4 linked regions of the Anolis sagrei genome follow. The protein of the gene in region 1 purifies or fractionates together with the protein of each later gene. This does not show direct contact. Links are inferred from orthologs where the notes say so. Each region holds a gene or a part of one and is shown in the gene's direction. Other genes may lie near its edges. The genes, in order: KLC2, KIF5B, KIF5C and KIF5A.

Region 1 (7,554 bases):
GTCATGCTACCTCTCTATTCTTCTTTGGTTAGACCACATCTGGAATATTGTGTCCAATTCTGGGCACCACAATTCAAGAGAGATATTGACAAGCTGGAATGTGTCCAGAGGAGGGCGACTAAAATGATCAAGGGTCTGGAGAACAAGCCCTATGAGGAGCGGCTTAGGGAACTGGGCATGTTTAGCCTGAAGAAGAGAAGGCTGAGAGGAGATACGATAGCCATGTATAAATATGTGAGAGGAAGCCACAGGGAGGAGGGAGCAAGCTTGTTTTCTGCTTCCTTGGAGACTAGGACGCGGAACAATGGCTTCAAACTACAAGAGAGGAGATTCCATCTGAACATGAGGAAGAACTTCCTGACTGTGAGAGCCGTTCAGCAGTGGAACTCTCTGCCCTGGAGTGTGGTGGAGGCTCCTTCTTTGGAAGCTTTTAAGCAGAGGCTGGATGGCCATTTGTCAGGGGTGATTTGAATGCAATATTGGCAGGGGGTTGGACTGGATGGCCCATGAGGTCTCTTCCAACTCTTTGATTCTATGATTCTATGATTCTAAAATTCAATGCCTTAGAATCATAGAATCATAGAATCAAAGAGTTGGAAGAGACCTCATGGGCTATCCAGTCCACCCCCCTGCCAAGAAGCAGGAATATTGCATTCAAATCACCCCTGACAAATACAACTACAATATTAAAACCACAGTTTATTTATTTATTTATTTATTTATTTATTTACTTTGCTTGTATACCGCAGTTTCTCAGCCCGTAGGTGACTCAACGCGGTTCACATCAAGAGCAAAAAGTCAATCCTAACAACATACAATATTTAAAAAACCATTAACAGCATAATATACAAAGTAATGACACATCAATAAACAACACATTAACGTCTCGTAACTAGAATCGTGATCCAATTCGTCATCCGTAATTCCGTTTTCCTATATTCATCGTATTCATTGCACTGTTTATCCGAACGCCTGTTCAAATAGCCAGGTTTTTAGTTTTCTTCGAAACACCATTAACGAAGGGGCTGATCTAATGTCCATGGGAAGGGCGTTCCACAGCCGAGGGGCCACCACAGAGAAGGCCCTGTCCCTCGTCCCCGCCAGCCGTGCTTGTGATGCAGGCAGGATCGAGAGCAGGGCCTCCCCAGAAGATCTTAGAGTCCTGGTGGGTTCATAGGCAGAGATACGTTCGGATAGGTAGCTTGGGCCAGAACCGTTTAGGGCTTTATAGGCCAACGCCAGCACTTTGAATTGAGCCCGGTAGCAAATCGGCAGCCAGTGGAGCTGGTGCAGCAGAGGAGTTGTATGCTCCCTGCGCTCCGCTCCTGTTAGTAACATGGCTGCCGAGCGTTGGACTAGTTGGAGCTTCCGAGCCGTCTTCAAAGGCAATCCCACGTAGAGAGCGTTGCAGTAGTCTAAACGGGATGTAACTAGAGCGTGGACTACCGTGGCCAAGTCAGACTTCCCAAGATACGGGGGCAGCTGGCGCACAAGCTTTAGATGTGCAAATGCTCCCCTGGTCACCGCTGAAACCTGGGTTTCCAGGCTCAGCGATGAGTCCAGGCTCACTCCCAAGCTGCGAACCTGCGTCTTCAAGGGGCGTGCGGCCCCATCCAACACAGGCTGTAACCCTATGCCCTGTTCGGCCTTGCGACTAACCAGGAGTACCTCTGTCTTGTCTGGATTCAATTTCAATTTGTTTGTTTAAACATAAATCATATTAAAAACAGTACATCATCAAATATCAAAACAGTTATTAAAACCATAAAACAATCTCATCAGTCAAGTTCCAGTTCTTGTCCCACTAAAAGCTGCATACATCTCTGTATATAAAAGATGTATCTCTGGAAGCCGAAATCAATAGAACATAATAATAGTAAGGATAATAATCTATATAAATAAAAATGTAATGTTCGTTTGTGGGATTAACAACTCAAAAACCACTGGGCGAATTGACACCAAATTTGGACACAAGACACCTAACAACCCAATGTATGTCCTTCACTCAAAAAAATTGATTTTGTCATTTTGTCCATTGGCTACCAATTTGCTACTGGGCACAATTCAAAGTGCTGGCGTTGGCCTATAAAGCCCTAAACGGTTCTGGCCCAAGTTACCTATCCGAACATATCTCCGCCTATGAACCCACCAGGACTTTAATATCTTCTGGGGAGGCCCTGCTCTCGATCTCGCCTGCATCACAGGCACGTTTGGCGGGGACGAGATACAGGGCCTTCTCAGTGGTGGCCCCTTGGCTGTGGAATGCCCTTCCCATGAACATTAGATCTGCCCCCTCTTTGATGGTGTTTCGAAGAAAACTGAAAACCTGGCTATTTGAACAGGCGTTTGGATAAATAGTGCAATGAATACAATGAATATAGAAAAACGGAATTTATGGATGACGAGATGGATCATGATTCTAGTTACGAGATGTTAATGTGTTGTTATTGATATGTAATTACTTATTATATTATGGTGTTAATTGTTTTTAAATAGTATGTGTTGTTAGTATTGAATTATTGCTCTTGTTGTTAACCGCATTGAGTCGCCTACGGGCTGAGAAACTGCGGTATACAAATAAAGTAAATAAATAAATAAATAAATAAGCCACATCTACTCTTAATTGTCAGGTATATATCTGATATGCAGGAGGTATTTTCAGTTACTCGACCAAATTTGGCACAAACTTGGCTCAGATACTCAATATGCCCAAATGTGAACCCTGGAGGAGTTTGGGGGAAATAGACCTTGACATTTGGGAGTTGTAGTTGCTGGGATTTATAGTTCACCCACAATCAAAGAGCATTCTGAGCCCCACCAATAATAGAATTGGGCGAAATTTCCCATGAACAATAGAAAATACTGTGTTTTCTGATTGTCTTTGGTGACTCCTCAGACACCCCCCCCCTCTCCCTTGCGACCTCCCAGGGATCCCGATCCCCAGGTTGGAAAATGCTGCCCTAAAACCACTTATAACAGATCTGTGGTTGGATGATTTATTTATTTATCGTGTCATCAGCAACCATACCATTGTATTACAATTCTAATAGAACAAAACAAACACACAGATTAAAAAACAAACAAACACACACGCAAAAGAAAAAACACAGATTTTGCAAACTTGGTAGTTGGTTAAATGTGCTTTGACCAGTATCTGGCCACTTGGAGTGCCTCTGGGGTTGCCGCGAGAAGGTCCTCCATTGTGCATGTGGCTGGGCTCAGGTTGCATTGCAGCAGGTGGTCTGTGGTTTGCTCTTCTCCCCACTCGCATGTTGTGGATTCCACTTTGTAGCCCCATTTCTCAAGATTGCCTCTGCATCTCGTGGTGCCAGAGCGCAGTCTGTTCAGCGCCTTCCAAGTCGCCCAGTCTTCTGTGTGTCCAGGGGGGAGTCTCTCATTTGGTATCACCCATGGATTGAGGTCCTGGGTTTGGGCCTGCCACTTTTGGACCCTCGCTTGCTGGGGTGTTCCAGCGAGTGTCTCTGTAGACCTTAGAAAACTATGTCTTGATTTAAGTCGTTGACGTGCTGGCTGATACCCAAACAAGGGATGAGCTGGAGATGTCTCTGCCTTGGTCCTTTCACTATTGGCTGCTACTTCCCGGCGGATGTCAGGTGGTGCAATACTGGCTAAGCAGTGTAATTTCTCCAGTGGTGTGGGGCGCAGACACCCTGTGATAATGCGGCATGTCTCATTAAGACTCCCATGACCAACAGAAAATACTGGAAGGGTTTTGGAGTTGTAGTTCACCTACATCCAGAGATCACTCTGGACTCAAACAATGATGGATCTGGACCAAACTCTACACGAATACTCAATATGCCCAAATGTGAACAATGGTGGAGTTTGGGGAAAATAGAATCTTGACATTTGGGAGTTGTAGTTGCCGGGATTTATAGTTCACCTACAATCAAGGAGCATAACTGAAAAACCACTGGACACCAAATTTGGACACAAGACTGCACACAAAGCAATCTATGTCCTTCACTCAAAAAAATGATTTTGTCATTTGGGAGTTGTAGTTGCTGGGATTTACAGTTCAACTACAATCACAGAGCATTCTGAAGTCCCACCAACGATAGAATTGGGCCAAACCTCCCACACAGATCCACAGCAACGCGTGGCAGGGGATGACTAGTATATAAATAAATAAGTCAAGAAAGGGAGGTTACTTATCCTCCGACAGAAAAGAAGGAGCCGCCCTCCCCTTTAAGGAGGTTGTCTTGGGCCCTCCCCTTTAAGGAGGTTGTTTTGGGGCGGGGCCGAGCGGCTGCCGGTGCCGCAGTGCCTGCCGGGAAGCCTGTGAGGGAGAAGCACCTGCGTCGAGAGAGAGAGAGAGAGAGAGAGAGAGAGAGGCTGCGGGTGAGAGAAAAGCTGCGCGCGCAGGTAGGGCCCTTTTTGGGGTGGGGAGGGGGTTTTTGGAGAGGAGGGGAAGGGTCCTGCTTGGGTTTGGAGTGGCTGGATTGGAGGGAGACCCCCAAAATGGGGAAGGAATTGGGGGGCTTTGGGCCTAGGCTTGAGGAAATGGGGAGCTGGGCAGTCGACGCAGAGCCAGAAGTTGATGTCTTGGCAACACACAACAAAAGAGCCTTACCTCTAGAGCAGGTTTGGGCCCTCCAGGTGTTTTGGACTTCAACTCCCACAATTCCTAGCGGCCTCAGGCCTCGGGGCCTGAGGCCGCTAGGAATTGTGGGAGTTGAAGTCCAAAACACCTGGAGGGCCCAAACCTGCTCTAGAACTTGAAAGAAGACCAAAAAACACCTAGAGACCCCCAAGGACCATTCAGTCCAACCTGTTTCTGCCTGACAGGAGGACACCATCCAAGCCCTCCAGACAGATGTCCACACAGCCAGGAATAGATATGATTGAGATAGACATATGGTGGGCACCCAGCCCAGCCCCCTTCTGCCTCTTCCACCTCTATGCCTGCCATAGCAGCAAACAGCCAGCCTTTGAAGCTGCAAGGCCCTTCAGTGCTAATCAAGCTGGCCAATGGCAACGTTCGCACTTGCCTCAAGCAGACAAGAGCCCTCCCGACAGATGGCCATCCTACTTTTGCTTTAAACCTCCCAAGAAGGGGACTCCATTATCATCATCATTATAGGATCTTAGAGTTGGAAGGGACCCCATCTCCACCAGGCAGGAAGACACCATCAAAGCCGTCCCGACAGATGGTCATCCAACTTCTGCTTTGAAACCTCCCAAGAAGGAGACTCCATCGTCATCATCCTTAAAGGATATTATAGTTGGAAGGTACCCCTTCTCCACCAGGCAGGAAGACACCATCAAAGCCCTCCTGACAGATGGCCATCCAACTTCTGCTTTAAAACCTTCCAAGAAGGGGACTCCATCATCATCATCATTATAGGATCTTATAGTTGGAAGGGACCCCATCTCCACCAGGCAGGAAGACACCATCAAAGCCCTCCTGACAGATGGCCATCCAACTTCTGCTTTAAAACCTCCCAAGAAGGAGACTCCATCGTCATCATCCTTATAGGATCTTATAGTTGGAAGGGACCCCATCTCCACCAGGCAGGAAGACACCATCAAAGCCCTCCCGACAGATGGTCATCCAACTTCTGCTTTGAAACCTCCCAAGAAGGAGACTCCATTGTCATCATCCTTATAGGATCTTATAGTTGGAAGGGACCCCATCTCCACCAGGCAGGAAGACACCATCAAAGCCCTCCCGACAGATGGCCACCCAGCCTCTGTTTACAGATTCCGCTAGACGCCCAGACAACATATTCCACTTGAATTCTTCCTAGTGTTTAGGAGGAATCTCTTGGTTTGCAACTTTAAACCTTTCCTTCCATTGTCTCCAGAGCACCAGAGCTGATCAGATAGGATCATAGAATCATAGAATCAAAAAGTTGGAAGAGACCTCATGGGCCATCCAGTCCAACCCCATTCTGCCAAGAAGCAGGAATATTGCATTCAAATCACCCCTGACAGATGGCCATCCAGCCTCTGTTTAAAAGCTTCCAAAGAAGGAGCCTCCACCACACTCCGGGGCAGAGAGTTCCACTGCTGAACGGCTCTCACAGTCAGGAAGTTCTTCCTCATGTTCAGATGGAATCTCCTCTCTTGTAGTTTGAAGCCATTGTTCCATTGCGTCCTAGTCTCCAAGGAAGCAGAAAACAAGCTTGCTCCCTCCTCCCTGTGACTTCCTCTCACATATTTATACATGGCTATCATATCTCCTCTCAGCCTTCCCTTCTTCAGGCTAGACATGCCCAGCTCCTTAAGCTCATAGGGCTTGTTCTCCAGACCCTTATCATTTTAGTTGCCCTCCTCTGGACACATTCCAGCTTGTCAATATAATCGAGAGAGAGACGTATCATAGAATCGTAAGAGTTGGAGGAGGATACCAAATTGGGAGGGATATACTCCAGAGGACAGGAGCAGGATTCAAAACGATCTTGACAGATTAGAGAGATGATTGGCCAAAACTAACAAAATGAAGTTCAACAGTGACAAATGCCAGATACTCCACTTTGGCAGGAAAAACGAAATGTAAAGATACAGAATGGGGGACAATGCCTGGCTCGAGAGCAGTACGTGTGAAAAAGATCTTGGAGTCCTCGTGGACAACAAGTTAAACATGAGCCAACAATGTGATGTGGCGGCAAAAGAAGCCAATGGGATTTTGGCCTGCATCAATAGGAGCATAGTGTCTAGATCGAGGGAAGTCATGCTACCCCTCTTTGGTTAGACCACATCTGGAATATTGTGTCCAATTCTGGGCACCACAATTGAAGAGAGATATTGACAAGCTGGAATGTGTCCAGAGGAGAGCGACTAAAATGATAAAAGGTCTGGAGAACAAGCCCTATGAGGAGCGGCTAAAGGAGCTGGGCATGTTTAGCCTGAAGAAGAGAAGGCTGAGAGGAGATATGATAGCCGTGTATAAATATGTGAGAGGAAGCCACAGGGAGGAGGGAGCAAGCTTGTTTTCTGCTTCCTTGGAGACTAGGGCGCGGAACAATGGCTTCAAACGACAAGAGAGGAGATTCCATCTGAACATGAGGAAGAACTTCATGATTGTGAGAGCCGTTCAGCAGTGGAACTCTCTGCCCCGGAGTGTGGTGGAGGCTCCTTCTTTGGAAGCTTTTAAACAGAGGCTGGATGGCCATCTCTCAGGGGTGATTTGAATGCAATATTCCTGCTTCTTGGCAGAATGGGGTTGGACTGGATGGCCCACGAGGTCTCTTCCAACCCTATGATTCTATAATTTATAAACATGGCTCTCACATCCCCTTTTCTCAACCTTCTCTTTCCAAGCTAAACATTCCCAGCTTCCTAAGCTGCTCCTCATAAGGATTCATTGTTTCCAGGCTTTTTGATCATTTTGGTCAGCTTTTTTTGGACACCTGCTTGTGCATTTATTTATTTATTTATTTATTTGCAGTATTTCTATTCCACCCTTCACACCTTGCAGGGGACTCGGGGCGGATTACAATGTACATATATATGGCAAACATTCAATGCCATAGACACACAACATATATAGACAGAGACTCTTTAACATTCCAGCTTTTTCATGAAGGT
Region 2 (7,740 bases), on another chromosome or scaffold:
ATCATGGGGAATAGGTGTCTCAACTGAAGCTTTGGGCCCTTCCACACAGCCCTATATCCCAGAATATCAAGGCAGAAAATCCCATGGTATCTGCTTTGAACTAGGTTATCTGAGTTCACACTGACATATATTCCACTTCAAAGCTGATATTGTGGGATTTTCTGCCTTGATATTCTGGGATATAGGGCTGTGTGGAGGAGTCCCCAATCACCAATCTTTGTTTCCATAACAAGACAAATATTTCAAAATCTAATTATTACAGGGACAGAAAATGAGGTGAAATCTTCTGAACTGGGACACAGACAGCAAAACGTCACAGGGGTGTTACCTCTATACCTATCCAACCAAAAGCCTTCATATATATATATGTGTGTGTGTGTGTGTGTGTGTGTGTGTGTGTGTGAAGGCTTTGGGTAGGATATATCCACTATACACACACACGCAAACACACACACACACACATATACAGAGAGAGAGAGTGCACTGGAATTACACTTACATACAAATTCAACTTAGGAATGAACCTACAGAACCTATCTTGGGGACTGCCTGTATATAAAGTATCAGTTAAATGGAATATGCCACTGTATCAAATGAGCCTTGAAAGATTTGGGAAGTTCTCAAGACATTTGTGAGAAAAGATGTGGAAAAAAGGAGTGACGATGGACATGAAACTGGCTGTCTTTAGAGGCAAGTGGTCTATGGTTGGTTTTGAAACTGGTACACAATAAGGATGGATCTAACCATTAATGAATATCTAGTGAAATTCAAAGGCAAATGTAAATTCCAGCACTGTACTCTAAGTGAATCAGGAAAATGTGATGTACAATATGGTGCTAGTACAATGCTAAGACATCCTATCTTCTAAAGCAGTGGTTCCCAGCCCTTTTTTTTTGATCAGGAACGACTTGACCAGGGACCACTTTGACCAGGGACCACTCTCCAACATTAGTCCCAATAGGGTTACGAATCAGTTTTTGGACAACTTTAGATTTGGTTTAGTTATTTGGGGTGCTGATTCAGAAAATTGCATTGGATAGACCACATCACCTCTAGTTTCTGATACAGAATATATGCTATCCAGTAGTCGCCATCTGCTCACCCACAGAAAACCATATTTAATACAGTTTGGCACTATAAGAAGGTTTCGCGAGACCAGTCACTCTAGTTGCAACAATGTAGTAACAGTGAGGTCACGGACCATATTTTAGTTCTTGCAAACCACTGCTGGTCAACGAACGACAGGTTGGGAACAACTGTTTTAAAGGAAGACATTTATCTGGGCAATGGGGAGTCCAACTTGCTTTATCTGATGGAAAACTGGTAGGTCTAATAAATGACGACTTAAAATACATTGGCACAATTCAGCAGAGTAAGGCATACACAAACACTCTTTCTTCTAAACAGGCCAGCCGATAAGAAAACCAGCATATCACATGAGGAAAATTTGCCTCCAAGGACTACATTCAAGTAATAAAACATTCATTAGGAGGACATTGTTACCAGAGTAAAAAACTGTCCTGTGATATCAATAATATTAGGTTTTCCTACAAGTAAGCAACAACCATTGTTTTCCTTTAGGGGTTGTTAGGCCATTAGGAAGTTTTATGGGCTGAACACAAAGGTTTGGTTGTTTTGAGCGGAGGTAAAAATAGAGCATTTTTTAAAAAGGCAGAAGTAGTATAGTATTATTAACTTTTTTTTGAAGAATTAGAGAAGTAAACCAGAGACGAATACTCAAAACAAAATATTCTACTGATTTTCCAACCATAAACTCTGGGCAGACGGCATTTTGAAATCCATGAATATCTTGCAGGTTTGAAAAAAGAATATCTGCCTGGATGACAATTAAAGCAATACGGCAATTACATTGTGATTAAGTTTTCGTTTGAACAGCATCTGACCACTGTGCAAATGAGAAAGGTTGCTCTCTCTCTCTCTCTCTCTCTCTATATATATATATACACACTTTTGCTAAATTGCACTGATTCTAATTTGATAAATCACCTTGTGCTCCAGTTAAGGAAGAAAGTGAATGACATTAAACAGACAAATCAATTTCTGTCTGGGTTCATATTCAGGCTAAGGCAGGAAGTAAGCCTTAGGGTGCATCTGCACTGCATAATTAATGCAGTTTGACATCACTTTAACAAGGAGCCCCTGGTGGCGCAATGGGTTAAACCTTGTGCTTGTAGAACTGCTGACTGAAAGGTCAACGGTTCAAATCCAGGGAGCGGAGTGAGCTCCCATCTGTCAGCTCCAGCTTCCCATGTGGAGACATGAGAGAAGCTTTCCACAGGATGGCAAAACATCCGGGCGTCCCCTGGGCAACATCCTTGCAGATGGCCAATTCTCTCACACCAGAAGCGACTTGCAGTTTCTCAAGTCACTCCTAAAACGAAAAAACAAAAACAAAAAAACGTTTTTAACTGCCAGGGCTCAATGCTGCAGAATATTGGGATTTGTAGTTTGGTGAGGCACCCACTGCCTTGGAGAGGCAGCTAATGACCTAATAAAACTACAACTCCATGATCCCAGAGCATTGAGCCGTGACAGTTAAAGTGGTGTCAAACTGCATTAATTATATTGTGAAGATAGTCTTATCTTGTTCTGTGGGAAGGGCCTTGCAATCTCTGTACGGAAGACATCAGAATTTCCTATTAATGCCTATTAATGCTATCAAGGATTACCTTGATAGCATTTTTATATTTTGATACTTCAAGTTGTATACAGATTTAAACTGCTGAATGTGTTACCAGGCCTGACTGTATGTTTGGCTAAAGCTGTTTGATTTGGTGAGTTTAAATGTCTATATTCACTCTGAATTGTAATTGTTTGTTCTGCCCATTCATTGTTATTGGCTTATTAACATACTTAGGTGATCCCTCATAGTCCAAGGATGATGGTCCTCCAAGTGATGTGTTTTGCCCATGGATACCTAGGTGGCTGTGGCACCTGATTCTTGACCTGCATCTTCTCCTGCAGTGAGGGCATTAGTTTCCAGGTGGAAGGTTAGGGTTGGCTTGATGCACCTTCCTCTTGCCACGTTTCTCTCTTTCGCCCTCCATTCCTGCCTCTTCAAATTCTACAGTATTGCTGGTCACAGCTGACCTCCAGCTAGAGCGCTCAAGGGCCAGGGCTTCCCAGTTCTCTGTGTCTATGCCACAGCGTTTAAGGTTGGCTTTGAGCCCATCTTTCAATCTTTTTTCCTGTCCACCAACATTACATTTCCCGTTTTTGAGTTTGGAGTAGAGCAACTGCTTTGGGAGACAGTGATCGGGCATTCAGACAACGTAGCCGGTCCAGCGAAGTTGATGGCGGAGGACCATCGCTTCAATGCTGGTGGTCTTTGCTTCTTCCAGCACGCTGACGTTTGTCCGCCTGTCTTCCCAAGAGATTTGCAGGATTTTTCAGAGGCAACACTGATGGAGTTGCATGTGACATGTGTAGATAGTCCATGTTTTGGAGGCGTATAGCAGGGTTGGGAGGAAAATAGCTTTATAAACAAGCACCTTGGTATCCCTGCAGATGTCCCAGTCCTCAAACACTCTGTGCTTCATTCGGAAAAATGCTGCACTCGCAGAGCTCAGGCGGTGTTGAATTTCAGTTGTCAGTATTGACTTTTGTGGAGAGGTGGCTGCCACGGTAGCGGAAATGGTCAACATTTTCTAATGTTACACCATTAAGTTGTATTTCTGGCATTGGAGAGGGGTTGGCTGGTGACTGCTGAAAGAGCACTTTTCCAACCAGTCATTATATGTCAGTGACAATGTTTACTGTTGTTGTATTGTCGAAGGCTTTCATGGCTGGAATCACTAGGTTCTTGTGGGGTTTTTTCGGGCTATAGAGCCATGTTCTAGAGGCATTTCTCCTGACGTTTCGCCTGCATCTATGGCAAGCATCCTCAGAGGTAGTGAGTTCTGTTGGAATTAGGACAATGGGTTTATATATCTGTGGAATGGCTGGGGTGGGGCAAGGAGCTCTTCCCTGCTGCAGTTAGGTGTGAATGTTTAGCTGATCTCCTTCATTAGCATTTGAAGGCCTGCCTGAGCCTGGGAAAATCTCTTGCTGGGAGGTGCTAATCTGTGCCTGGTTGTTTCCTCTCTGTTGTTTTGCTGTTGTAATTTTAGAGTTTTTTTTAATACTGGTAGCCAGATTTTGTTCATTTTCATGGTCTCTTCCTTTCTGTTAAAATTGTCCACATGCTTTTGTTATTTGCATGTGGCATTGAATGTTTGCCATTTTATTTTAATTTAATTCTTGGAAGCCGTCCTGAATCCCTTAGGGGAGAGAAGGTGGATTAAAAATAAGGCATTATTATTACTATTTCTAGCGACCGCACTAACTTCAAATGATTTTCCAAGTCCAAGACTTAGAATCCTTGCCAGACTTCCCGCTAAATAGTCCGCGCATGCGCAGCAAAGTTCTCGCCTCTGCTTTCGAGTTTCCTCCTTTTGCGCCTGCGCGTTAGATCTCTCCTCCCGGACTTGCTGACAGGACTTCTCTGTTTGGAAGGAAGACATGTCGCCGAAGTGGGTTCGCCATTGCGCCTGCGCAGTACCGCTTGCCGCAGACGGTGACGTCACCTTCTCCCTGCCCGGCCGTTAGCCACGCCCCCCGCGCGCGCAGGAGGGGCGGGGCCCGGATTCGCCGGCTGCAGGTGCCGCCATGGCGGCCATATTGGAAAGGAAGTGAGTGCAGGAGGAGGAGGAAGAGGAGGCCTGGGCGGAGCGGGAGCCCTCCGCCATTCTTCGGACACTGGCCCGGCTCCTCAGTCCGGGGAGAGGTTGCCTGGCGTCGGGGCGAGGCGGGCGCTGGGCCTGACTGGACGCTGAGGGAAGAGGAGGAGGCGGCGGCTGAGGCCTAAGATGGCGGACCCGGCGGAGTGCAACATCAAAGTGATGTGTCGCTTCAGGCCCCTCAACGATTCCGAAGTGACCCGAGGCGACAAGTACATCGCCAAGTTCCAGGCCGAGGACACTGTTGTCATTGCGGTGAGTTGAAGCGTCGAGGGAAGCGCTTAGGCGGAGAGAGGCCTCTGGGAAAGGAGAGCCTGGGCGGCGGCTGCGAGGCCTCAATGGGCCGAAAGCAGAGGAGGGAGGGAGAAAAGCCATTGGTGGGGCCTAGAGGCAAGAGTCGGCCTTCTGTGGAACCGAAGGGAGGAATTAAAGGGCACCAGGGCCCTTCCACACAGTCATATAACTCTGAATATCGAGGCAGACAATCCCAACTGGGATATATGGCAGTGTGGACTCAGATAATCCAGTTCAAAGAAGATGCTGTGGGTTATTCTGCCTTGATATTCTGGGTTATAAGGCTTTGTGGAAAGGCCCTGAGCCCACACGGCCATATATCCCAGTTCAAAGCAGATAATGTGGGGTTTTATGTGGAAAGGGGCCCCAGTCACAAGCCACGCTGTGATCCACACCGCCCTATGTTGTTGTTGTTGTTCATTCGTTCAGTCGTCTCCGACTCTTCGTGACTTCATGGACCAGCCCACGCCAGAGCTCCCTGTTGGCCGTCACCACCCCCAGCTCCTTCAAGGTCAGTCCAGTCACTTCAAGGATGCCATCCATCCATCTTGCCCATGGTCGGCCCCTCTTCCTTTTGCCTTCCACTTTCCCCAGCATAATTGTCTTCTCTAGGCTTTGCTGTCTCCTCATGATGTGGCCAAAGTACTTCAACTTTGTCTCTAGTATCCTTCCCTCCAGTGAGCAGCCGGGCTTTATTTCCTGGAGGATGGACTGGTTGGATCTTCTCGCAGTCCAAGGCACTCTCAGCACTTTCCTCCAGCACCACAGCTCAAAAGCATCTATCTTCCTTCGCTCAGCCTTCCCTAAGGTCCAGCTCTCACATCCGTAGGTTACTACAGGGAATACCATGGCTTTGACTAGGCAGATCTTTGTTGCCAGTGTGATGTCTCTACTCTTTATTATTTTATCGAGACTGGACGTTGCTCTCCTCCCAAGAAGTAAACGTCTTCTGATTTCCTGGCCACAGTCTGCATCTGCAGTAATCTTTGCGCCTAGAAATACAAAGTCACGGCCTCCACGTTTTCTCCCTCTATTTCCCAGTTGTCAATCATTCTTTAAATGCCTTGTATGAGTTTCCACTGTCATATAATCCAGTTCAGATTGCATACTGATAATAATAATAATAATAATAATAACAACAACAACAACAACAACTTTATGTGTAGCCTGCCATATCTCCCCAAGGGGACTCAGGGCGGCTTCCAACATAATAAAGGCAGACATTCAGTGTCTGTGTAAAACAGAATGGTTGGGCTATGCCTGGGGAGTTGGCTGAAGCAGGGACTTTGAGTTACTGTTACATATTTTGGACTTGAGCTATGCAGGTGCTTGCAGAGAAGCAGAGAGAGAGAGAGACAGTTTGGAGTATGTTCTTGCTTCATGAACTGCCAGAAAGAAGATTCTCCACAAAGAAAGACCATTTTAAATCTCTCTAAAAGGACATTATTTGAGTCAGTCCAACTGATTGTATGATTGTAAATATGTTCAATGTATTGTCGAAGGCTTTCATGGCCGGAATCACTGGGTTGTTGTAGGTTTTTCCGGGCTATATGGCCATGTTGTGGAGGCGATTTTTTTCCTGATGTTTCGCCCGCATCTATGGCAAGCATCCTCAGGATGCTTGCCATAGATGTAGGCAAAACGTCAGGAGAAAAATCGCTTCCACAACATGGCCATATAGCCCGGAAAAACCTACAACAACCCTGTAAATATGTTGTTCTGAATTACCGATAATCTGCATGACATATTGTCTTTCTCTGGTAAGACAGTATGTGGACTGATCAAATGTCAACTACATGTGATTTATTTTACATTGAGCCACTTTTAGTAATATAATAAGATACCATGCTAATAAATTGTAATAATGTTCTTTTGCACATGAGGGCCCCATTGCACAATGGGGCATATTGTAGACAAGGACATGTTGCTCAGTGGAGTCTTGGATCATGTTGAGTAATGGGTATTTTGTACAGAAGTACAAAAATATAAACAACAATAAAATACATTACACAAATTAAAGCAAGGAATTTAAATAAATAATCAACATTTGAACCATTAAAAGCCGGCTAAGATAGCACATCAAATCCATTGTATTGTATGACAGTGTAGATACTGCATAAACTGCGTTGTATGGCAGTGTAGGTCAGGCATGGGCAAACTTTGGCCCTCCGGGTATTTTGGATTTCAACTCTCACAATTGTGGGAGTTGAAGTCCATAACACCTGGAGGGCTGAAGTTTGCCCATGCCTAGTGTAGATCAGCCTAAGTCTCCCATGTTTCCTAAAATGCTTGGGATTTGGGCCTTTGGGATGGAATAGAAGGTGTTCTTATCCAAATTGTGCATGTCAGGAAATAGCCCGCAGAAGTAATTTCAGAACCACTGGCAATCTTTGAGGGAATGTTCCAGCAGACTGGAAGAAGTTAAATGTTGGCTCCATCTCTAAAAGGGGGGGGGGGGGAGGAGGACCCAATAATGACCGCCCAGTCAGTCTGACATCAATATCAGGAAAATTCTGGAGCAGCATATTAAACAGACAATTACAAAAAGTCATCAAGGGTTTCCCATGAACAGGCCAAGCCAGACAAATCTTATCTCTTTCTCTCTCAGAGAAGCTTGGTAGATGAAGGGAATTCTGTAGGCATAGCATATCTCAATTTCAGTAAGGTCTTTGATAAGGTCCCCCGTAACGTTCTCATAAAGAAGCTA
Region 3 (7,443 bases), on another chromosome or scaffold:
GGTGCTCCTTAAATACAATGGCAAAGTTAATGTTTGCTATTATACACATGCATACACACGCACATAGGTGTGTGTTTGTATATTAATTCAAGACCTAGGTACTGGGACTGTGGCGCAGCTGGCTGGGAGTCAGCTGCATTAAGATCACTACTGACCAAAAGGTCATGAGTTCAAAGCCAGCCGGGGTTGGAGTGAGCTTCCGAACATTGTGAAGCTTGTTGTCAACCTTTGCAGCCCGAAAGACAGTTCCATCTGTCAAGTAGGAAATTTATGGTTATGTGGGCAGGCTAATTTAACTAATTTACAACGCCATAAAAATCTCCAGCAACCATGCAAAAAGAATGAGGAAGTACTCCCATCATTGTCACTAATGGACGATGAAGCGAAAGATCCCCTGGTGGCCAGAATATCCTCAAGAAAGCTGGAATGTTAAATAGCCTCTGTGTGTCTGTCTATATATGTTGTGTGTCTATGGCATTGAATGTTTGCCATATATATGTACACCCTGAGTCCCCTGCAGGGTGAGAAGGGCAGAATATAAATACTGTAAAATAAATAAAAATAGGTACTTGGATCCTTGGATGTAGAATCCATGGATACTCAGGACTGCTTCCTAGCTATGTATTAACAATATTTATGTTCTATATTATTGAGACAAGGTTTTTGGACAAAAATGTATTTTGGACTAATAGCATTAAGATTTGTAAAATAAGACCACTTGACAGGTAACAAATTGCCTACCTGGAAGGCTTTTTGTGTAAGACTATATCATGTTTGCTTTACTGCGCCATATGATGTCTTTGTATATAGCAGAAATGAGGGGCATATGGATGTTTGTTTGGCTGGTTGCATACTGCAAGTCACTTCTGATGTCAACTGTCTACGGAGACATTGCCCAGGAGACAACTGGATGTGTTACAATCCTGCAGGGAGGCTTCTCTCATGTCCTCCATACGGACATATGGATGTTGATGCTGATCTGCAATATTAACCTCACACCATTGTCAGAATGGGCGTTATAGACCACCACCATCTGGAAGGCTACAGATTTTGCAGGCCTATCTATAAAGTACTTAAGTTCTAAGAAATCACTAACTCATTCTCAGTGATTTTGCACCATCATCTATCTATTCTTGACTTCTATGATGCTTGCATATTAGAAGGTTAATAATATGTACACAGCTACTTCATTCTTGGGAGCGATATCCTTTAGTTGAACCAGATCTGAACTGAAGGACCTTTCCCCAAATGTTCATGTTCATGGAGAGCTTGATGTAAAGAATGCATATTACTCTCCAGTTTAATTTTTCCATACATATGAATAATAAATACTTTAGGACAAGACTATGAATATGCCTTCCTCATTCTGGAAGCAATGAAAGGCATCTGAAAATGTAATAGATTTTAGGTAATCTTCGTGATTAATTTGCTGGCAGAGAGCATTCTTATAGCATTGCCGGATTCCCCCTCCTGCTCTTCTGCTTGGGTGAAGCACAGAATGCCTTTCTTCCAACAATAGAGTAGCAAGCCTCCTCACCTGGAATTTACTGGCACAGCTTTATCTCAAGGGGCATCCTGTACAAAGTATGCAGTTGTCCACATTTGTGGTTTTAAGGCATTGGCATACTGGCTGATACCCAAACAAGGGATGGGCTGGAGATGTCTCTGCCTTGATCCTTTCATTATTGGCTGCTACTTCCCGGAGGATGTCAGGTGGTGCAATACTGGCCAAAGGCTTAAATCAAGAAATAGTTTTCTAAGAGCTACAGAGATACTTGCAGGAACACCTCAGCAAGTGAGAGTCCAAAAGTGGCAGGCTAAAACCCGGAACCTCAATCCATGGCTGATACCAAATGGGAGACTCCCTCCTGGATACACAGAAGACGGAGTGACTTGGAAGGTGCTGAACAGACTGCGCTCAGGAGCCACGAGGTGCAGAGCCAATCTTAAGACATGGGGCCTCAAAGTGGAGTCCACGGCATGCGAGTGTGGAGAGGAGCAGATCACAGAACACCTGTTGCATGACAGTGGCAACTCCAGGTGGTCAGCTACTGGTCAAGGGACTTTTGATATGGTGCCAAGCTTTATTAAACTCTGTTTTTTAAATGCATGGCGGCTGTGCCCTTGGTTCGCTCCTGCTACGATAAATAAATTTGTGGTTTTGACCTTTGAAGATTTGATTATTCACACATTTAAAATGTTCTCTTGAGGAATGGAAACTGTCAAAGCATATGCTAGCTCATGGATATGAGGCAAAGGACAATGAGTACAAAAGAGATGGACTTACAATATAAAACCCAGAACTATCTCAGAAATGTTACAGGCTTTGGCTACAGCAGGTGACACTGCAATGGCAGGCTGAAAGATCATCATGGTCAGTATTTCCCTGGAAATATTTTCCATGAACTTTTTACAAGCAACATTGGATGTTGATCTCTTTTGCACTGGATAATTATATCACTTTGACGCCAGTTTTAATTGCCCATGATTCCACTGACTTTTAGTTTTGTGATGCATGAAGAATTCTCAAATATGAAGCTGTAGTGTCTTCCCAAACTGTAAATCCCGATATTCCATGGGATGGAGCAATGGCAGTTAAAGTGGTGCCCAAGTATTATAATTAGCCAAAATTGAAAGAGACCATAGATGTTACAGAACATCGGAACAAAGAGTAGGGATTCAAATGTGTTTTTAAAAATATTTTCCATTATATATTATCAGGTGATTCTTATGAGTAATAGACTTTGCTTTCCATTTTAGCAACCTGAATGTGTAGCATACAGCTGGAGCCAAAGCATTATTGATTACACTAGGCATGTTTTGAGTAGTCCCTAATGTCTTATTACCACCAAAGTGGGAATCGGGATATGTTCCAGATGTTATTACACTGCAACTCAGAGCAGGCCTAGCTAGCAAAGCAAACTGGGCATATTGGGAGTTAGAGGAGCCCAACAAAATTTGGAGGATGCAAGGCATCTTATGGTAATCTAAAGGTGTGTCTACATTTTAAAATTAATGAAGTTGGACACTACTTTAACTCAATGCTATGAGATCTTGGAAACTGTAGTTTGGCAAGGGCTTTAGTTTTCTCTGATGGTGTCTCACTAAACTCAAACTCCTATGATTCCATAGCATTGAGGGATGGCAATTAAAGTGGTGTCAAGCTTAAATTAATTCTGTAGTGTAGAAGGAGCCATAGGCCCCATCTATACTGATGATAAAATCCAGTTTCTGAATGCAGATTATTTGCTTTAAACTCGATTATGAATCTACACTGCCATTTAATCCAGTTTAAAGCAGATATTGTGCATTCAGAACATAGATTATATGGCAGTGTAGATGGGGTCAGAGGCCCCTTCCACACAGCTGAATAATATCCCACATTTTCTGCTTTCAACTGGAATATATGGCAGTGTGGACTGTTTGGCAGGAACCAGTGATCTTTGCCTCCAAAGCAGAAATCCCATGGATGTTAGTCATTGTGACAGACAGTAAAACCAAATGAAACACAATTTTCGTATCTTTGTGACACCATTGTAACGGTTTGGCAGGAATTTCCAAACAGTGCTCTTTGCCTCCAAAGTGTAAATCCCACGGCTGTTAGGAATTGTGGAAGTTGCAGCCCAAAACACCTGGAGGGCCAAAGTTTGCCCATGTCTATTCTACCCTCCTGCTGCAAGATATCATAGTATCAATTGTATCCCCTGTGTATTAAATGATCAAGCAGTGGAGAGCTAAGACCATTTGATCCCACTGCTCTGGCTCTATGCTGGGAGCTGTGGTTTTACAAGGTCTCTAGCTTCCTCTGCCAAAGAGGATTGGGTCTTCACCACAATCGAGGAGTCAAAAGAAGTGCCAAAGTGCACCAGGTCCCCAGAGTTGTTGCCCTCCTTGGCCAGGAATGGCAGACCCGCACTGAGCTTCTCCGCTGCTCTCTATCCCCCCCTGCTGGTGGCGGGCAGAAGCACAACTCTCAGGGATGAGCCCGCTTTGTAGGGAGGAGGAGGAGGAGGGTTGATGTAATGCGGTGAAGTCACAAAGCCCTGGATGGAGGCGGAGCGGGAGAAAGAGAGGCTGGGAGGCTGAGGGAGAGAGAGAGAGAGAGAGAGAGAGAGAGAGTGAGGAGGTGCTCCGCCGGCGGGGAGGCAGGATGGTGGCCGAGGCAGGAGAACCTGCCAAGGGCTGAGGAAGAGGAGGAGAAGGAAGAAGGAAAGGAGAAAAGCAAGGAAGAGGGGCAGGGACCTTCGGACGCCCCAAAGAAGAGCGGGCTGGGCACCGCAGCCTCAAAGGGGAGGGAAGCCAGGGGGAACATCCTCCTCCTCTTCCTCCACCCCCTAGTCTTCCTCCTCCTTCCCCTCTTCCTCCTTCCCTTTCTCCTCCACTCCCTAGTCTTCCTCCTCCTTCCTTTTCCTTCTTCCCCTTCTTCTCCTCCTTTCCTCCCCCTTTTCCCTTCTTCTTCTTCCCCTCCTCCTCTTCCTCCTTCCCTTTCTCCTCCACCCCCTAGTCTCCTTTCCTCTTCCTTCTCCTCTCTCCTTCTCCTCTCTTTCCCTTCCTCCTCCTTTCCTCCTCTTCTTTCCCCCCTTTCCTCCTTCTCTTCCTCGTCCTTCTTCTCTTTCACCTCCAGCCCATTCTTCCTCCTCTTTCTTCTCCTTCTCTTCCTCGTCCTTCTCTTTCACCTCCACCCCCATTCTTCCTCCTCCTTTCCTCCTCTTTCTTCCTCCTCATCCTTACCTCCTCCCATCCTCCTTCCCCTCTCTTCCTTCTTCTCTTTCTCCTTCTCCTCTTCCTCTCCTTCCCTTCCTCCTCCCCCTTACCCCCTCCCTCTCTTCCCCCTTCCTTCTCTCTCTCTCTTCCTTCCTCCTCCTCTTCTTCCTCCTGCTTCTGCTGCCATGGCGGACCCGGCCGAGTGCAGCATCAAAGTCATGTGCCGGTTCCGTCCCCTCAACGAGGCCGAGATCCTCCGCGGGGACAAATTCGTCTCCAAATTCAAAGGCGAGGACACCGTCGTGGTCGGGGTAAGACCCTCCCCCCCCCCCGGATCCCCCCTCTCCCTCTCCCTCTCCTTTGCTTCCTTCACCAGCATCTCTCTCCTTTTTCTTTTTGGGTGTCCCTTTGGGCGGCTCTGCATTGTGCGCCTTTCCTTCTTCCCTCCCTCCCTCTCTCCCTCCGCCCATTGTTCCCATCCCTGGCCTTCCTTGGAAGGGAATTGGGGAGCGGGGAGGCTGAGTAAGTGGGTGGGTGGGTCGCCTTTTGGGGGAGCCTTTCACCTCCAAGCCCAGGAGGAAGGCATCGGAAGGGCCCTCCATGGAGATGTGCGGCCAAAGTCGGCATCCTGTTTTCCTCTGACATTTCGGATTTGGAATCTTAACATGATGTTGTTTTCTAGTCTGGGATATTTTGATCATAGGTATCAATCTTTTCAGGATGCTGTGAATGTTTCCAGGCTGTCTGGCCATGTTCCAGAAGCATTCTCTCCTGACGTTTCGCCCACATCTATGGCAGGCATCCTCTGAGGTTGAGGAGTCTGTTGGCAAAATGTCAGGAGAGAATGCTTCTGGAATATGGACATACAGCCCAGAAGACTCACCGCAACCCATTGATTCTGGTCTTCGACAACACATCAATCTCTTCACTTGGTGTTATATTGGGTGTTTTTAAATATATATATTCAATGTTTCCACTTTATCAGGTTGGTTTGTTAGGCAGTGGCGTTGCACAGGCTTGCCTTCCCTCTGTAGATGCAAATATTGGAGAGGGGAATGGGTATGTCCTTGGCAGCAGTAGGAACCTGCCAGATGAAGGGGTGGTGTCTTGGAGAGCCTTGGAGAAACCTATATCCAAAGGAAATCTCTTGCTACATTGCTACATTATTGGCTGGACCACTCTCACAACCACCATGTCAGGCTACACAGAGAAGCCATTGAAATCCACAAGCATGTGGACAATTTCAGCAGAAAGGAGGAAACCATGAAAAGGAACAAAATCTGGCTACCAGTATTTTTAAAAAAACACTCTAAAATTAGGACAGTAAAGAAAGAACAACACTCTGAACATGGGAGAATTCCAGACAGGAATTTTCCCAACAACTCCCAACAAAGGATTCCCCCAGGCAGGAAGCAGCCAGGCTTTGAAACTACAAAGCTATTCGATGCTAATCAAGGTGGCCAATTGAAACATTCACACCTGCCTCCAACAAACGAGTTCTTTCTCCCACCCTGGACCTTTCACAGATATATAAACTTCCCTTGTCTAGTTTCCAACAGACCTCACGACCTCTGAGGATGCCTGCCATAGATGTGGGTGAAATGTCAGAAGAGAATGCTTCTGGAACATGGCCATACAGCCTGGAAAACTCACAGAAACCCAGTAATTCTGGCCATGAAAGCCTTTGTCAACACATTATTGGCTTAGTTTGATCATGGTAATGACATTCAATGGGACTCTCCCCCAAGTAAATAGGTGTAGGGATGAGGCCCATGGTTTTGGTTCTGTAAAACATCAGCCACACTGGATGGTGCTATATAAATAAAGATCAGCATCATCTCTTACCCCTGGTATGGAAAAACAAAGGTTGTAGGTGTTCTTTATTACTCCCCCCCCCCCCCCCCGCCTTCCTTAGCACTCAAAGTTGGGGTTAAGACTTCATACTGTGATGTGATATGATGCTGTTGGTGGGAATAAGATGACAAAGGTGGAAAGAAGAGTTGTGGCATTATTGGGTGTGGGGAATATGAATGTGAGCTTACACAATTACAGTGATGATGCTGTAATTGTCCAATTGCTACTGGAGCATGGCCATACAGCCCAAAAAACTCACAGCAGCCCTGTGATTCCAGTCATGAAAGCCTTCAACAAAACATTGATGATCATTGAGCCCCCGGTGGCGCACTGGGTTAAAACCCTTGTGCCGGCAGGACGGTTAACTGAAAGGTTGGCAGTTCGAATCTGGGGAGCTGGGTGAGCTCCTGTCTGTCAGCTCCAGCTTCTTATGTGGGGACATGAGAGAAGCCTCCCACAGGATGGTAAAACTTCCGGGCGTCCCCTGGGCAACATCCTTGCAGACAGCCAATTCTCTCACACCAGAAGCGACTTGCAGTTTCTCAAGTCATTCCTGACATGAAAGAAAAGTTGTTAATGATAACAACAACAATATATTTATTTGTTATCCACCTCTCCTCACGGCTTGAGGCAGTTTACAACACTGTTACATCACATAAAATACACACCATAACATTCATATGCCTATAAAACATATAAAATACATATATTAAAATACATAGCATTTGCGTGAAAAGTAGTTTTTCAGTGGAGGTGTGGGCCTAGGTTGGACATACAAATACAATAAAGTGTCAGGTGGTTCATTTTCAAGACAAACATTCACCGTGGGATAAGTATTTGGGATGGGAGGGGGACGTAATGCATGCCAAGAGATAACTGGAGTCT
Region 4 (8,247 bases), on another chromosome or scaffold:
CTACACTGCCATATAATGAAATTTCAGAATGCAGATTGTCTGCATTGAACTGGATTGTATGGCAGTGTAAGGTAAAGACATAGTTTTTATAATTTTTATTGTTTATTGCTTTTATGGTTTTAAATGTATTATGATGTGATTTTTTTTGTTTTTAACCAATGTATGTATTTATATGTGGCATCTAATTGTGCCAATTTGTATGCTGCCCTAAGTCGCCTTCGGGCTGATATGGGCGGGATAAAAGTAACGTAAATAAATAAATAACGTGAATAAATAAATAAAGGTAAAGGTTTTCCCCTGTCATTAAGTCCAGTTGTGTCCAACTCTAGGGGTTGGTGCTCATCTCCATTTCTAAGCCGAAGAGCCGGAATTGTCTGTAGACGCCTCCAAGGTCATGTGACTGACATGACTGTATGGAGTGCCGTTACCTTACCACAGAAGTGGTACCTATTGATCTACTCACATTTGCATGTTTTCGAACTGCTAGCTTGACAGAAGCTGGAGCTGACAGCGGGTGCTCACGGCGCTCCCCAGATTCAAACCTGTGACCTTTCGGTCAACAAGTTCCGCAGCTCAGTGGTTTAACCTGCTACACCACTGAGGGCTCCATATATGGCAGTGTAGACTCATAGGATTCAGTTAAATGCCATTAATTAGCATTCTGAAAATGTATTATTATGGCAGTGTAGATCCGGTCCCAGACATAATTTTTTAAGCTTCATTCAACTCAACTCATCTGGAAGAAATGAAACTAGTTGGCAAATCATTGCAGCAGCTATGCTCTTGGCTCGCTTAGGGCCTGATGCTAGTGCTACTACCATCCTCCCTAAAAATAACTGCATTTCTGGTATTGTTTTTCCTTCACATGTCAGCTCAATCTGATTGTTCGGTTTTGCTACATCTGTCTAAATGGCTGCTTATTTCCTGGAAGAGTAAGCAGTAATGATGATTAAAAGGTTTACTGTATGCCCATCTTCCAGACTAGAGCATTACTCAGAGGACTGAGAGGCCGAACAAAGAGTGGAGTATCTTGGATTATTGTAATGTATATACCAAGGTGGGTGTGTGGCCAGCTTTCTAAAGGATGATCCTCTCTGAAGGTATCCTCTGTTTGTACACATCCAGTTTAAATATGAAGAACCATTGGAAAGAACAGCTGGAAGGACTAGCAGTTTAAAGTTGCCTACCCACAGTTAACGTTTGGACAACACAGAGGTCACCAGATTGGAGATTTCTCCACTGTGTTGAGATAGCTAAGATTTCTATTGAAGCTTGCATATATACCGGGTGTTGCCTGGATGTCAAAGGGTTTGCTGCCCATCTGCTTTCTCCCTTCTCCAGCTCTGAGAAGACTTACTTCACAATGTCTTCATGGCAATGCTCTGGCAATGGTGGACATATTCTATCTTGCCTTCTTTTCCCTGTTTCCTTCATACACCTTCTTCCTCTCACTTTCCTTTCTCTCATTTCTTCCTTCATCTTTTGCTTTCCCTCAAAAAACCTCCCCCTTCTTCCTTCCCTTCCTTCCTTCCTTCCTTCCTTCCTTTCTCTTCCTTCCTTCCTCTTTCTTTCTTTCTTTCTTCCTTCCTTTCTTTCCTTCCTCCCTTCCTCACTTTCCCAATACATATGTTTCCTAATAGAATCCAAGCTGTTTCACTCCCTTCCTTCCACAGGCCCCTTCCACACAGCTGTATAAAATCCATGTTGAACTGGATTATATGGCAGTGTGGACTCAGATAATCCAGTTCAAAGCAAATATTGTGGATTATCTGCCTTGATATTCTGCGTTATATGGCAGTGTAGATGGGCCCTCAGTGACATCACAGAGGCCACAACACCTAGCAACAGCCAATACTTTGTTCCTTTTCTTTCTTTCTGTACTGAGCCCGAAAGAGATGTGTTTTTAGTTTGAATCCCTCAATTATTTTAAGTTGAATAATAAAGGGTATATGTGCCAAGTTTGATGTAGATCTATTAAGCCACATAGGAGCCTTTGTGGGCCAAATGTGCAAACCAATCATACTTTGACTATATATATAGTGATAATTTTCAAATTTGCATGTTATGCAAACCCATGTCCACTTTGACTCTCTCTTTTTTTTTAATGATCCAATTGTTTTGTTTGTGGCAGTCTGTAAATGGGAGCGAATATGGGTAGAGGTGAGTGCCAATAGCACCAGGAGTGAAAAGGCCAACACCTTAGGCCCCTTCCACACAGCTAAATAAAATCCCACAGGTTCTGCTTTGAACTGGAATATATGGCTGTGTGGAAGGGGCCAACTGATTTCTACACAATATTCCCCCACTTTCCTTGTAACTATATTCTTTCAATAAAAATTTATATATCTATATAAATAAAAATGTAATGTTCGTTTGTGGCATTAACAGAACTCAAAACCTACTGGACAAATTGACACCAAATTTGGACACAAGACACTTAACAACCCAATGTATGTCCTTCATGCAAAAAATATGATTTTGTCTTTTGGGAGTTGTAGTTGCTGGGATTTATAGTTCACCTAAAATCAAAGAGCATTTTGAACCCCACCAACGATGCAATTGAACCAAACTTGGCACACAATTCTCCCATGATCAACAGAAAATACTGGGAGGGTTTGGTGGGCAGTGTCCTTTGGTTTTGGAGTTGTAATTCACCTACATCCAGAGATCACTGTGGACTCAAACAGTGATGGATCTGGACGAAACTTGGCACGAATACTCAATATGCCCAAATATGAACACTGGTGGAGTTTGGGGAAAATAGAATCTTGACATTTGGGAGTTGTAGTTGCTGGGATTTATAGGTCACTACAATCAAAGAGCATTCTGAACACCACCAATGATAGAATTGGGTCAAACCTCCCACACAGAACCCCCATGTGGGCCACAGCAACGCATGGCAGGGGAAAGCTAGTGTGTGTGTGTGTGTGTGTGTGTGTGTGTGTGTATATATATATATATATATATATATATATATATATATATATATAAAGATTTGTTTCTTCACTCATTGTGTGGTGTGTTTTAAAGTCAGAGGGCATTTCCCTGACCTGGAGTGCAACAATGATGAAGAGTTGGAAGCGACTGAACGAATAAACAACAACAACCAAGTTAGGGAAACCTATCACTGGATTTTCCAGGGCTGAAAGCGTATGGCTTGCCCTTGGCCAATTAATAAAGGACATCATGGCATGCCGATTCCTTGTGCCCAAGTTATGCAGCAGCATCCTGATCCTGAAGCCAAGGTGGTGTAACATAGTTAAATTGCCAAACAAGGGGGAGGGTGTGAGGGGGCTGCTAGAGTTGTTTTTAATGGGGGGGGGGAGGATGGGGGTAGTTCTCTGCTCAGCCTTCCCTTACTTACTTTCTTACTTACTTAGGCGGTCCCTCGTTGGCCGAGTAGGATAGTCTTCCAGGATCAGTATTCTTGTGGGTCCGTTATGTGGCTGTGGAGCCCTATTCTTGATCTACGTCTCCTTCCTCAGTGAGGGCATTGGTTTCCAGGTGGAAGGCGGTCTCAGTTGGGGTTGGCTTGACACGCCTTCCTCTTGGCACGTTTCTCTCTTTCACCCTCCATTCGTGCCTCTTCAAATTCTGCAGCACTACTGGTCACAGCTGACCTCCAGCTGGAGCACTCAAGGGCCAGGGCTTCCCAGTTCTCTGTATCCATGCCAGAGTTTTTAAGGTTGGCCTTGAGCCTATCTTGAAATCTCTTTTCCTGTCCACCAACATTCCATTTTCCGTTCTTGAGTTCGGAGTGGAGCAACTGCTTTGGGAGACGGTGGTCGGGTGTCTGGACAATGTGGCCGGTCCAGTGGAGTTGATGGCGGAGGAGCATTGCTTCAATGCTGGTGGTCTTTGTTTCTTCCAACATGCTGACGTTTGTCCGCCTGTCTTTCCAAGGGATTTGCAGGATTTTCCGGAGGCAGCGCTGATGGAATTGTTCCAGGAGTTGCATGTGACGTCTGTAGACAGTCCACGTTTCGCAGGCATATAACAGGGTTGGGAGGACAATAGCTTTATAAACAAGCACCTTGCTTACCTTCAAAGCCCTAAACGGTTTGGGACCGGCCTACCTGCGTGACCGCATTTCCATCTACGAACCCACGCGTTCTCTTCGGTCATCTGGAGAGGCCCTGCTCGTGATCCCACTGGCGTCGCAAGCGCGCTTGGTGGGGACACGGGACAGGGCCTTTTCCGTGGTGGCCCCCCAACTCTGGAACACCCTCCCCAAAGACCTTATACAGGCCCCGTCATTGGCTGTCTTCAGAAAGAACCTAAAAATCTGGCTTTTCCGATGCGCCTTCCCAGATTAGGAAATCTTCACTACTGAGTCCCACAAGCACTTTACCAGAACCAATGATTGCTGCACACCGCACATCGCACTTGCCCTAGAAACCCTTTATACACCTCCTGTCAAACCAGCACTTTTAATTCTTGTACCCACTTTTTGGCCCGGCCCAGTTTTATTGTGTTTTAATGTATTGTGCCTACTGTTTACTTTGCTTTATTTTGTTTTTAATTGTTTGATTTGCTTGATTGTACTGTTATGTTGTGTTGTTGAGGCCTTGGCCTGTGTAAGCCGCATCGAATCCTTTGGGAGATGCTAGCGGGGTACAAATAAAGTTTAATAATATCCCTACGTATGTCCCGGTCCTCAAACACTCTCTGCTTCATTTGGAAAAATGCTGCACTCGCAGAGCTCAGGCGGTGTTGTATTTCGGTGTCCATGTTGACTTTGGTGGAGAGGTGACTGCCAAGGTAGCGGAAATGGTCAACATTTTCTAATGTTACACCATTAAGCTGTATCTCTGGCATTGGAAAGGGGTTGGCTGGTGACTGCTGGAACAGCATTTTGGTTTTCTCAATGTTCAATGACATACCACCTTAAGGCCGAGGAGATGGCTCCTCCTTAAAAGCGGTACCATTGGACCTCTCCTCCAGCCCAGCCCTTTGCCTGCTGCTGCTGCTGCCGGTGTCTGCAGCAGGAGGGGAAGGAGGGAGGAGAGAGATCCAAGCGCCGCAAGCATCAGTTGCAGCAAGAGCACCAGGAGGAGGAGGACTCAGGCAGAGCAGCATCCCGGGAGCAGAGCCTGCAGCAGGAGGAGCGCCAGCCCAGCCCAGAGAGAGCCTCGCCGCTCTGCTGCTGCTGGGGGGTGACAGGCAGGGAACCAGGCTCGCCCATCGCTCGCCCTCCTCTCTCTGCCCTCCTGCGCCTTTCCCCGGGAATCGCACCCCACTCCAAGCCCTCGCCGCCCCTCTTTCTTCCACCCTCGCAAAGGAGAGCCTCCACCCGCCAGCATGACGACGGAAGTCAATGAATGCAGCATCAAAGTGCTCTGTCGCTTCAGGCCCTTGAATCAGTCGGAGATCATCCGGGGGGATAAATTCATCCCGGTTTTCCAAGGCGATGACACCGTCATCATTGGGGTGAGTGAAGGGCGAGGAAGAGGTGGGCCGGTGGGGGTCTCTGGGCCCTTCCACACAGCCCTGTATTATCCCACAATATCAAGGCAGCAAATCCCACCATATCTGCTTTGAACTGGGTGCCCTTCCACACAGCCTTATATCCCAGAATATCAAATCAGGAAATCCCACATTATCAGATATTGTGGGATTTTCTGCCATGATATTCTGGGATATAGGGCTGTGTGGAAGGGCCCTCTGTCTCTGTCGCTTTCTGCATATATAACCCTTTCTCTCCATCCCTCCCTCCTTTTTCCCCCCTCTCTTTCTCTCCACTTCTCCCCACCTTTCTCCCCCATCCTTTTCTCTCTCCCCCTTTTCCCAATCCATCTCTCTCCCCACCTTTCTCTGTGTGGCCCTTCTGCATAGCCATATTAACCCAGAATATCAAGGCCGATAATCCACAGTATCTGCTTTGAACTATCTGAGCCCACACTGTCATATCATCCAGTTCAATGTGGATTTTATACAGCTGTGTGGAAGGGGCCTGTGTACCCACTTCTTTCTCCTTCTTTTTCTCTCTCCACCCCCCTCTCTCTCTGCCTCTTCCCTTTTCTCCCTCTCCCTTTCTCTCTTTCCCACCTTTGCTCTCTCCCTTTTTCTCCCTTTCTCTATTTTCCTCTTTCTCTCTCACCTCTCCCCCCTTTTCTCTCTCAGTTTCCCATTTACCTTCCTTCCTCTTTCCCCTTTTCTCCTTTTCTCCCTTTCTCTCCCTCTCCTTCTTTCCTCCCTCTCTTCCTTTCTCTCTTTCACTCTCTCCATCTCCCCCTTCCTTCCCCCTTTTCTCTTTCCATATTTCTTTTCTCTTTCTCTCCCTCCATCTTCCTCTCTTTCTCCCTCTCTCCATTCCTGTCTTTTCCCCCTTTTCTTCCTCCCTTTCTCTTTCTCTATCCCCCTTTCTCCCTCTCTCCTTTTCTCTCCCTCTTTTTCTCTCTCAATCTCTCTTTTCCCTTTTCTCCCTCTCTCCCTTTCTCTCTTTCAACCCCCCTCTTCTCCCTTTCTCCTTTCTCTCTTTCCCACCTTTTTCTCCCCATCTCTTCCTTCCTTTTTCTCCCTTTCTCCTTTTCTCTTTCTCTCTCCCCGCATTCTCCCTTTCTCCTTTTCTCTTTCCCTCTTTTTCTCTCTCCATCTTTCTCTTCCCTTTTCTCCCTCTCCCCTTTCTCTTTTTCTCTCCCCCTCTCCCCCTTTCCCCCTCTCTCCTTTTCTCTCTTTCCCACCTTTCTCTCTCTCCTTCTCTCTCTTCCCTTTTCTACCTTTCTCTCTTACCCTCTTTCTCCCTCTCTGGGCCCTTCCACACATCCATAATAACTCAGAATATCAAGGCAGATAATCCACAATATCTGCTTTGAACTGGGTTATGAGTCCACACTGCCATATAATCCAGCTCAATGTGAATTTTATACAGCTGTGTGGAAGGGGCCTCTCTCTCCACCTCTCTCTTTCTGTCCACCTCCATCCCTCTCTTCCCACTCTTCCTTTCTGTGTGTGTGTGTTGGGGAAAATTGGGAGGCCTGCTCCCTATGGATTGCTCTTACGCTCCACATCGATCCTCTCCCAAGGCGTCCATTCAGTTCTGTGATCTTGATACAAGCTGCTTGTTTCCTTATGAAACCCCTCAGCTCAACATTCCCCCTCCACCTTTAAGAAATTGTCTTTTCGACTTGAAAATCCATTTGTATAAACATGCTCCACCTATCACTCTCTGAAAACCGGTAGCAGGGAAGGATGCTTGGAGTATCTGCTTCCATTTTTGTGCCATTACTGCCTCCCTCCTTAGCTCTGCAGGCTTGGTCAGCTGGGTGTGGCTAGCTGGGCTGTTGGTTTGGCCACTGGGAAGAAAAGAGCCCTTGGGAGCTGGGAGGGAATCTACAAGCCACTTTCCTTTCTGACTGTCCATCCATCACACGGCCCATATGTTATCTTGCCTTTCCAAACCTTAAGACTCCATCCTTCTAGCAGCTAGTCTGCTTGCGCCTCCTGAGGTTAACATTCCCAAAATGCCCAAAGGTCCCCTGCTTACACACCACCTGTAATTTTTTAAACCCCCCCTGCTCTTATCCATAATCCAGTGAAATATTCCATACTGACTTCCATCTGTGCAGTATAAAGATCAGGGCTAAAATGGTGCAGGTGGCTAGCTAAGGCGCCTGGAGGTTGTTTACTCGGAAATGGCAACGCCCCTGAAGCTTGTCCCTGTGGTCCTTGTGCTTGCCACTTGGTACCGTTCTGGGCTTTCAACCTGCTGATTGTTTGGATTTTCCCGTTGCTAAATCCACCATCTGTCAGAGTAGAAGGAAGGGTGGTAATGCGTTTTTCCCCCAAGGGGATGAACATGGTTATGCTCCCAGTGCCAACTTGCTGGTGCTATGCCCAACAATGGTGCTGACATCTCCTCATGCAACTGTTTTATTGCAGAGAGGGACACGCTGCTGAGTGTGTGGTTGTGAAATGAGTCGGTTATCTGCTTTGTATGGCCGGCCAACTGATGTGAGTGTGCCCTATCTCAACTTCATCCTTTGACCATTGATCCATTGACCACGGCTTGTGCAGCTGTGATGAGCAAGTGACAACCCACACCCCTAAATCTGAAGGACCTGCTCAAGGTGACCTAGCCATTTGTGGAATTAGAACTTGGGCCATCTTCCCCACCGGCACCACAACCCCTAGTTGGCAGCTCATCTCTCTGTGGTTTCTGAGTGCCTTGCTATGCTTTTGCTGCAGAGAAAGCCATCAATCTGCTTTCTGCTAGAGCCTGAGTCTTCTTTCCTATTTTTTTTTCCA

Evidence for each region.
Region 2: the proteins of KLC2 (region 1) and KIF5B fractionate together in Homo sapiens (co-fractionation; 7 studies listed by BioGRID and IntAct, with this or other methods). This does not show direct contact. The link is inferred for Anolis sagrei from reciprocal best matches to the Homo sapiens genes KLC2 and KIF5B.
Region 3: the proteins of KLC2 (region 1) and KIF5C purify together in Homo sapiens (affinity purification with western blotting; 3 studies listed by BioGRID and IntAct, with this or other methods). This does not show direct contact. The link is inferred for Anolis sagrei from reciprocal best matches to the Homo sapiens genes KLC2 and KIF5C.
Region 4: the proteins of KLC2 (region 1) and KIF5A purify together in Homo sapiens (affinity purification with western blotting; 3 studies listed by BioGRID and IntAct, with this or other methods). This does not show direct contact. The link is inferred for Anolis sagrei from reciprocal best matches to the Homo sapiens genes KLC2 and KIF5A.

What each region holds. Positions count from the first base shown.
Region 1 is NC_090032.1:14,553,082-14,560,635, reverse strand, and holds the start of KLC2 (kinesin light chain 2), read left to right. Parts: upstream 1-4,271; 5' UTR 4,272-4,362; exon of another isoform or gene 4,363-4,386; intron 4,387-7,554. UniProt on the Homo sapiens protein: Kinesin is a microtubule-associated force-producing protein that plays a role in organelle transport. The light chain functions in coupling of cargo to the heavy chain or in the modulation of its ATPase activity.
Region 2 is NC_090026.1:112,333,482-112,341,221, reverse strand, and holds the start of KIF5B (kinesin-1 heavy chain), read left to right. Parts: upstream 1-4,637; 5' UTR 4,638-4,868; coding exon 4,869-4,994; intron 4,995-7,740. UniProt on the Homo sapiens protein: Microtubule-dependent motor required for normal distribution of mitochondria and lysosomes. Can induce formation of neurite-like membrane protrusions in non-neuronal cells in a ZFYVE27-dependent manner.
Region 3 is NC_090021.1:206,189,291-206,196,733, reverse strand, and holds the start of KIF5C (kinesin heavy chain), read left to right. Parts: upstream 1-4,072; 5' UTR 4,073-4,889; coding exon 4,890-5,015; intron 5,016-7,443. UniProt on the Homo sapiens protein: Microtubule-associated force-producing protein that may play a role in organelle transport. Has ATPase activity. Involved in synaptic transmission. Mediates dendritic trafficking of mRNAs.
Region 4 is NC_090022.1:186,121,648-186,129,894, forward strand, and holds the start of KIF5A (kinesin heavy chain), read left to right. Parts: upstream 1-4,954; 5' UTR 4,955-5,301; coding exon 5,302-5,430; intron 5,431-8,247. UniProt on the Homo sapiens protein: Microtubule-dependent motor required for slow axonal transport of neurofilament proteins (NFH, NFM and NFL). Can induce formation of neurite-like membrane protrusions in non-neuronal cells in a ZFYVE27-dependent manner.